2 linked regions of the Bombyx mori genome follow. The protein of the gene in region 1 interacts with the protein of each later gene in a pairwise test. Links are inferred from orthologs where the notes say so. Each region holds a gene or a part of one and is shown on either strand. Other genes may lie near its edges.

Region 1 (4,401 bases):
AGATAGCCCATTTATCAAGGAAGGTTATATAACATCACGGTAAGATCAATACAAGTGGAGCACCAATAAAAAATGTTTCAAAATAAGGGTTTCAATAGCTTCTTAACATTCTACAATTCCAAAATATTGTTACTTTCTACATAAATGAAGTGGGGAGTAAAATTTAGCGTTATTCCAAAGTAACTATTCCACGCGGACGGAGTCGCGGGCAAAAACTAGTATATTGATATGCATTCAATATCAAAAGCCAGTTCTTGTCTGGTATTCACAATGTATATAGTATTCTATGGCTTATGTAATTCGGAGAGACGGGCCTCATCAGCATTGGGTTTAAGATAAGGAAAACTACAAACTCAAACATAGAACTGTTATGTTAAGCAGAAGTAAGTTTCAACCAAACACTAAAGTCAAGATGAGACTTGAGGACTGAGTGGGTTTATGGTGGGTCGAACATGACATACAAGTGTCGCCTCAGGGCTGATTAACCCTATATTTATTTACTCTTTGCCATATTAGCTCTTACCCTTCTAAATGAAGGTTTGTCAGTGTCGATACATTTCTTAATATGAATTCTCACCTGTCCAGAGCCGCAACTGCTCTTTTATGGCACATTAACTTATATCTGTTTATTAATTGGATACAAAGAAATAGTGCCAAACAATCATAACATTCAACTACATAGTTTTCCACATTTTTCTGTAAAATAAAAAATTAAGATGATTCAATTCAATTCAGACTATTCAATTTCCAGAAATAAATATTTATGTACATAATTTTAATGGTTTACTCACTACAAGCACGGACAATGTTTTACCGAGGATTCTATCAAAGAGCTCTTGTGCATGGTTTCCTTTGACATGGAAGAATTCAGTGGTAAACAGATATTCTCTGCAACCATTGTCTACCAAGGCATATTGAAGACTTCTAAATAAGGCTTCATATGAATACTGAAAATAATTTATTTATTATCAAGAAGTGGATCAAAACATGAATATAGTGTCATTAAAAAAATGATATGCATACAGCAAGCAATAAATATTTTAAAGTTGTTAATTTCATATTTTATTTAGGAATGAAAAGATTTTAATCACTTGATTCTATAAACGAGAAACCAAATGAAATTTGTAATATTGTATTTTGTACCTTTGTTTTTTGCTGAACATGTGGTACAATAATGGGTGCTTCTAGTTGTTGGGCCAGAACATCACCTCTATTCCCTATAGTGAATATTGTACTTTTATTTTTTAAATTAGATTTCTGGAAGAATCCTCCTTTAGATCCATCCTCAATTCCCATTAAGTCATCTTTGTTGGGTGCTTCTTCATATTTCAATTTATCTAGTCTTGATGCATATGACTTGAAGTATGAATAATAAACTTTGCTCAATGTATCAATATATTCATTGCAAATTTCTTGAGCCACATTTCGTTCATTGGTCAATACAAATTCAAAGAAAAATTTGTATTTCAGCATGGCATTTTGTGGTATTTGATAATTTGCCATTGGTTTTCTGAATTTATATATTTGTTCTAAAATATATGTTCTTATCTTTGACACTGCTTTTATCTTTAATTTTTCCAAAACGTCTTTGACATCATGACAAGCTTTAGTTTCTTTGAAATCTTGTTCCTTTACAAAATTTAATTTTTGGTTTAAAATTGCCAACTGCACCATGAATTCTTTGTCGGTAACTGGAACATTGTTGATACCACTGGAATGTAATAGTAAATATAATAGAGTACAATTAAAATCCATAAAAGTGGATAAATGAATCCAGGCAATCACTTACAATATAACAGTTTCCGACACTGCCATGTCTTCTATGAATGCAGATAAAGGTCCCTTAAGCACTTGTCTATTAGATAACTGTACTGACATATTCACTGAACGCTTTTGTAAACTTATAATTTCATTGCTGATGCTTCCTAAATCATTCTGTTACAAGAAAAGTTATCATTAAAGAATACAATAGGCACAACATTTTTCAATAGAGCTATTCTCAACATCAAAATTTTCAGTTTATTGGCAAGTAGGACCTGTTTGTAGTTCATGTTTACATTCCAGGGAATTCCACAGTACTGAAATCTTTAGGTATGATATAGTATCAAGATTAACTCAAACTCTCTCAACTCAATTAGAAATTAAAATTAAAGTTCTCAGTTAACTGTCAGAGGTATTTCAGTTCACTAGATCTTATTGATAATAGTTTCTCTGTCTGTCGAACTCCTAAGCCTTTTAAACAAGCACTAAAAACTAAAAAATTAACATTTATTTGAGACTTTTTTCTATAAAGGTAATAGGTATTCTATAGTCACATTATTATAAATATTTTATTTCCTAGCATTCCCTAACATGCTTTGTATTTATTTTATTTTCCAAGGAGATGTATTTTTCTATCTTTATTGTGTGAAAGGAGAGGCCTATGCCCAGCAGTGGGTACCAAAGGGCTGAAAACTATAATAGTGTTGTAAATCTGTTTTATGCGGTAAATAGAGATAAATTTACCTGAAACACCAGTAGCATACTCTCCATTTTCCCTAAAATATTGTCACATTCTTCGATTTGATTATGAAGGGAGCCAATATTCTCACTTTCTCTCAAATAATCCGCAACAGATGCTTTTTCAGCTTCGATGATTCCTTTGTCGATTTGAAGAGCATATTCTCGCAAATCTGTACCATTACGGAGAACCTCTTGGATTTCGAAATCCTCAAGATTTTTGTCTAAGTTCATGTTGTTGTTATCAGACATGATTAAACTCTAGTGGAATGACGGGAAATCAACATTTATACTTGACTGTGTGCGTTTTCAACTATTCACATACATTTTACTTGAATTTTTAGGTTTTGTATTTAATTTTTTTTGTTGTTTTAAACAATTTAAAGCACTGAAACAGTGACACTACTTATGACGTTTTTTTCGTTTTTCTTTCTGGATGGACAAAGAGTTCAAAGCCCATACAGCCAAATAAAAAAAATATTAAAATCTCAGACTCTTTGGCGCGAACACGAAGAGCGAAATTGTATGAATTTTTGTTTTGTTGGTTTTGTTTCCTAATTTTAGGGTTTCTTCAGATTTAAACGTGTAATAAAGGTAGTTTATTAACCTCGTTTTGTGTTGAATGTGGCTTCTCGGGTTGTTCCAGTTTCTGATCTCATATTAAATAACTACCATTTTATTGAGACTTTATTCTATCTCATCTCATCTCATTTAATTTCATCCGAATTGATTACAGTCTCAAATTAATTAACTTCATCTCATTTTGCTTCATTATGTATATAAAATATGTATAGGCGTCCCACAAGAAAATATATGATTTTATTTCCCTAAGAAACTGTATGAAGTCTTCCAAGTACTGGTTGGCTCCTGGAGTTGTGGGTTGTGGGTGTTGAAGGCAGTAGTGGGTTTTCTATGTAGCGTGGGGAAATTAAGTTTTAAAAGTTTGTTACATGGTTTTGGTATGTGTCAATTTAAAAAGTAATTAAGTAAGTGTGGGTGAGGATTGTGGCCTTACTGTCAAAACCTACAAACACTCGATTTTTTTTTATTATTTATATGGGTGGACAAGCTCACAGCCCACCTGGTGATAAATGGTTACCGGAGCCCATAGACATCTACACCGTAAATGACACCATCCACCTTGAGATATGAGTTCTAAGGTTTCAGTAAAATTACAACGGCTGTCCCACCCATCAATTCGAAACGCATTACTGCTTCACGGCAGAAATAGGCAGGGTGGTGGTACTAACCTACTATTGCGGACTCACAAGGGGTCCTACCACCAATAACTATGCAAATTATAATTTTGCGGGTTTGATTTTTATTACACGATGTTTTTCCTTCACCATGGAAATCAATCGTGAACATTTGTTAAGTACGTATTTTATTAGAAAAATTGGTACCCGCCTGCGGGATTCGACCATCGGTGCATCGCTCAACACGAATGCACCGGAAGTCTTATCCTTTAAGCTACGATGACTTCAAATATTCTAGAAAAGTACGTTTTTTATTAAATTCAAGGGATGAAAAATAAACACACAAATTTAATGGATGCATAAGCATCAATGATATTATTCTCAAGAAATATTTACAAAGAAAATGTATAACTTTAACAAAAGCACAACTAAGAATAGAGTAAAATTATATTGAAATGTCAAGAAATGCCATTGTATTAATTATGCATATTGTAATTGTATTAAAGGACTTGTAGATAGAATAAATGAATGCCTATGTACACATACATATGAACATATTTAGTACATATTCTCGTTGATCTATTTAACTGATAAATTATGTTTTATATTAATATTTAAGAAAGTTTAACTGCAATTTACGACTATCAAACGGACAGGATCTCGGCATCAAGTAAAAAATACCGTGACGTACTTCCTAATTTGACAT
Region 2 (4,275 bases), about 930 kb from region 1:
GAGTAAGAGATTCAGTGGAAGAATATTATTGTTGAACTAATATATCAACATCATATTCCAATTACAAATTGTCATTTACCAGTAGTAGGATGTATTGTAAATCTGAATAGTTAAGTAGTAAGATCAAGCATACTTCTATCATGAGTTCCAGTATACAGTAATAGTTGAGAGAAACATTACAGGCGGGTAAGGCATATAAGGCGGGTGATGCCATTCACATTGTGATGTCTATGAGCTCTAGTGACCACTTAGCACTAGGTAAGTAGTTATCTCATTCACCAATTAATAAAATGATTTGAAAAATTTGATCTCAAGTCTTAAGATAGAATATAGATAGCTAGTAAACGATACACGAGCTGGATGTATTTTTCCACACATAAACATCATAGAATAATAGATTTGAAACATGCTCCAGAGTTTTCTTCTGATCCAATACCTTGCTTTAAGAAACATCATGCCAAATACTAGTAACAAAAATAATTCACACTGAACAAGCTCAGGCTTGGATCTTCTCATGTTCTATGGATACCGAATGCCTAATCAAGTACAAAAACAAAACACCCATAAGTATGATTAGATTATGATTGACTGAAACTTTATTACTGGTGGTAGGACCTCTTGTGAGTCTGCACGGTACCACCGCCCTGCCTATTTCTGCAGTGAAGCAGTAATGTGTTTCGGTTTAAAGGGTGGGGCAGCCATTGTAACTATACTGAGACCTTAGAGCTTATATCTCAAGGTGGGTGGCGCATTTACGTTGTAAATGTCTATGGGCTCCAGTAACCACTTAACATCAGGTGGGCTGTGAGCTCGTCCACCCATCTAAGCAATAAAAAAAAGCATATTTAATAAAAGTAAAAACTATCTAGTAAACTATATATACTTTTGGTTTCTTCCAAAGCAAGTATGCAAATAAATAATAGTTCAAAAAAATATGCTTTGATAGAAAATCCAACTAAAAAATAGATTATAAATTTTAATAAATTTGAATTAAAAATAGTGTAAGAAAAAATGATTTTATAAAAAAAAAGAAAAAAAAGCGAGGGTGCTTTTCAGGATATTATCAAAATAACCCTTCTACTCATATCGGTTCATAAAATATTTATACCATGTAAAAGTGTATTAAAAATAACATTTTATGTTTTATTTTCATTATCGTAGGTTTCTTGGCCAACAACAGAAATTTATTTACTTTTCTGTTTACTTTTTCTATTCTATTTTCATGGAGAAGTAGAAAACAATAATTCTAACCATCTGTAGAGATTGAAGCCATAAGACTATTGTCTGGGTGAATGTCAATTGCCGTCACTCTAATTTGATGGACATTAGCTGGTAATTGGTGTGTCACAGCTGATGTTTTAATATCCCATATTTTGACTGTACCATCTTCATAGCCAGCAGCCATTCGGACACCATCGGTGAATAGCTGAAAGTGTGGAAAATTATGCAACTTAATTACCAATTACGATAAAAAAGTATATATTAAGTATTAAAAAAGATGAGACAATAATTGGGTTAGCTCATAAACAACTTGGCCTTAGACTCTTAGAGAAACCCTCAAACTTACTATTGTGACCAAGGTGATGAATCAAATATTTTCATTTTACTAACAGCAAACTTAATACAACAAAAATTAAATAAAAATTGTTTTTAAATGTGTTTATTTAGTCATATAGAATAATCTGTCTTACCTTTGCACATTCAACTTTGACATTATGCCCCTGAAGCACTTTAGTTTCGCCGGAAGGTATTTTAAAAATGTAGATATCTCCCGAAACAGCCCCACATATCAAAACTTTAGCACCAAAGTGCCACATGCCAAATGATAAGTCATCTGCAATATATTCAAATGCAAGTGGCCATGGATCTGTTCCATCACTGTATTTCCATACTTTAATTACACCAGACATATCCACTGTAGCTAAGTAAGACCCATCAAAACTGAATCCAACAAATATAACAGAGTCCTTGTGATTCACACATTCATGTACAACTTGACCAGATTCCACTGACCATACATAAGCCTTATCGTCTTCACCACCCGTAACTGCTAATTTACCATTGGGGTGGAGATCACAACAAAATACAGAACCCACGTGTTTGCTGAACACTAGTGCAGAATGATCTTCAGGGGGTTCTATATCTATGTCTTCTTCTTCTTGACTAAGAAACTCTTCCATTTCTTCATCACCCAGTTCATCCATTTCGTCCAGGTAAATTACGCCCTCATCCTCCATACTTGTAATTTCGTCTCCGTTTAATGACGACGGCGGTGTGTTTTGCTCATTCCCGTGCATATTGACTGACTGAATAACTGTTCTTATTAAGCTATCTTATTCACCAATTATTCTCAAATATTAAGTGTGCTATGCCAATTATTTTTAGATACTTTTCAAAAAAGTTATAAAATTGTAAAAGTTTAAGACTAACCCTTATTTACAAAACTAATTAAAATATTCTTCATATAATTAAGTTTCTTTCAGAATTATCATACATCGCATAAACTATTAATTTTATAATGTTATGGTTAAAATAGCAAGTTTTAGATTGTTTAAAATTGAAAATAATTTAACAAATGAGTAAATTGAGTCCAATCAACACGTTTTTTTTGTTGTTGTCAATGACATTCTGATTTTTTTTGTTTAATTCGTCCATTGGGCGGCCAAGGCGTGTAGAGACCAGTCACTCTTTTATTACAAAGCCAGAGGTTATGTTAGTTGTGTGAAAAGTGAAATGAATCAAAAAACTTAAAATAATTGATTAGGGTATAAAATATATAGGGTGAAATAAGATAACACTATAGGTTTTTGACGAGATGAAATGATATAATTAAACTAAACGGTCTAACTAAAAAGTCTAACGAATTGAATTGACTTGGAAAAACTTGTGGCGTTTAAGATTTAAGAACGCACATTTTTATGATGCGTAAGCCGGAACGCACGAGAGGTGGGAAAAAGAAGATAGTCTGTGACACGTGACCTTTTTACCGCGAGATGGGAGGACTTTTTGGCGGGAACGCGAGGAGTGCAGTTGTGTGATTTGTTTTATTTTGTCTATTTAGTGTTTCTTCGGGTTTAAATGTGTAATAATGGTGGTTTATTAACTGTTTAATATCTGTGAAAGTGCACAAATTTGGGAAAATGAAACAAAGCTGCTGGACGTAGCTTCTCGGGTTCTTCCAAAAAGTCCACTGAAAAAATCTCAGTAAATGACCACCATTTTACTGCGATTATATTTCATCCCATATCATCTCATTAAATTTCATCCCAGTTGATTAATGTCTCAAATCAATCATCTTCATTTCATTTCACTCCATATTATCATTTTTCATAAAATTAAGAATATAAATTAAAATAAGACATGACTTAAAGGTCTTAGTTACCAGGTCATAAAATCTCTTAAAAAAAAAAATACCGCGAGATGGACTTTTGGCGGGAACTCCAAAAAGAGCGCGCGTACAATTTGAAATTTTTTTCATTTTTATTTCAATTTTGTTATTTTTTCATAAAAATACTGTGTAAATAGTTGAATTTATTAGTGGTGACCCTTAGAAATGGAGGGTAACGAGGGGGGCGGGGATAACCCGCCCACCTCAAATAAACGTCCTCGCGTTGAGGATCGTGGTGGTGACCCCAAGGTGGACTTTGGCGTTGGCGGAGGCGGTGAGCGTAATGACTCTTACTTGCCTTTTTTTAAACCAAACTATAAAAGACTTTATCCAGAGAACTCTGCTAATACCGAGTTTAAAGTATTTGTCGAAGCAACTAATAAGGACAGACTGGGCAACAAGAGCCCTATTTACTTAAACCACGTTTTTGCAACGGAAATTAAAGGTGTGACGGCAATTCAAAGAGTGAATGCCAATAAAATAGCAGTTATTTTTAAACAATATAACACAGCAAATAACTTTATTAAGAATTCGTCTTTCTTAGAAAAATATGACATGAGAGCTTTCATTCCTGCTGCGCAGATTGAAAAGACTGGAATAATAAGATTCGTTCCAGCTAACATTTCTAATAAAGAGTTGTACAGTAGGCTATCGTCAATATATGAAATTATTGCTATCAGAAGATTTACAAAGAAAGTAGGACATGAGCATGTTCCTTTACAAACTGTAAGCATTACTTTCTTATCTAATATTCTACCAGACAATGTTCAATACGACTTATTCTCTTATAGAGTTTTTGAATATATACCACCATTGCAACAATGTTTCAAATGTTTCAAGTTTAACCACTCAGCTAAAATATGTAACAGTAAACAAAAATGTTCTAT

The links.
Region 2: the proteins of vacuolar protein sorting-associated protein 52 homolog (region 1) and angio-associated migratory cell protein interact in a two-hybrid assay, tested with the Homo sapiens proteins (2 studies listed by BioGRID and IntAct). The link is inferred for Bombyx mori from reciprocal best matches to the Homo sapiens genes VPS52 and AAMP.

The regions. Positions count from the first base shown.
Region 1 is NC_085110.1:11,269,032-11,273,432, reverse strand, and holds the start of vacuolar protein sorting-associated protein 52 homolog, read right to left. Parts: upstream 2,929-4,401; 5' UTR 2,752-2,928; coding exon 2,506-2,751; intron 1,936-2,505; coding exon 1,790-1,935; intron 1,712-1,789; coding exon 1,144-1,711; intron 948-1,143; coding exon 792-947; intron 697-791; coding exon 578-696; intron 1-577. UniProt on the Homo sapiens protein: Acts as a component of the GARP complex that is involved in retrograde transport from early and late endosomes to the trans-Golgi network (TGN).
Region 2 is NC_085110.1:12,202,623-12,206,897, forward strand, and holds the start of angio-associated migratory cell protein, read right to left. Parts: upstream 2,936-4,275; 5' UTR 2,298-2,935; coding exon 1,692-2,297; intron 1,427-1,691; coding exon 1,252-1,426; intron 1-1,251. UniProt on the Homo sapiens protein: Plays a role in angiogenesis and cell migration. In smooth muscle cell migration, may act through the RhoA pathway.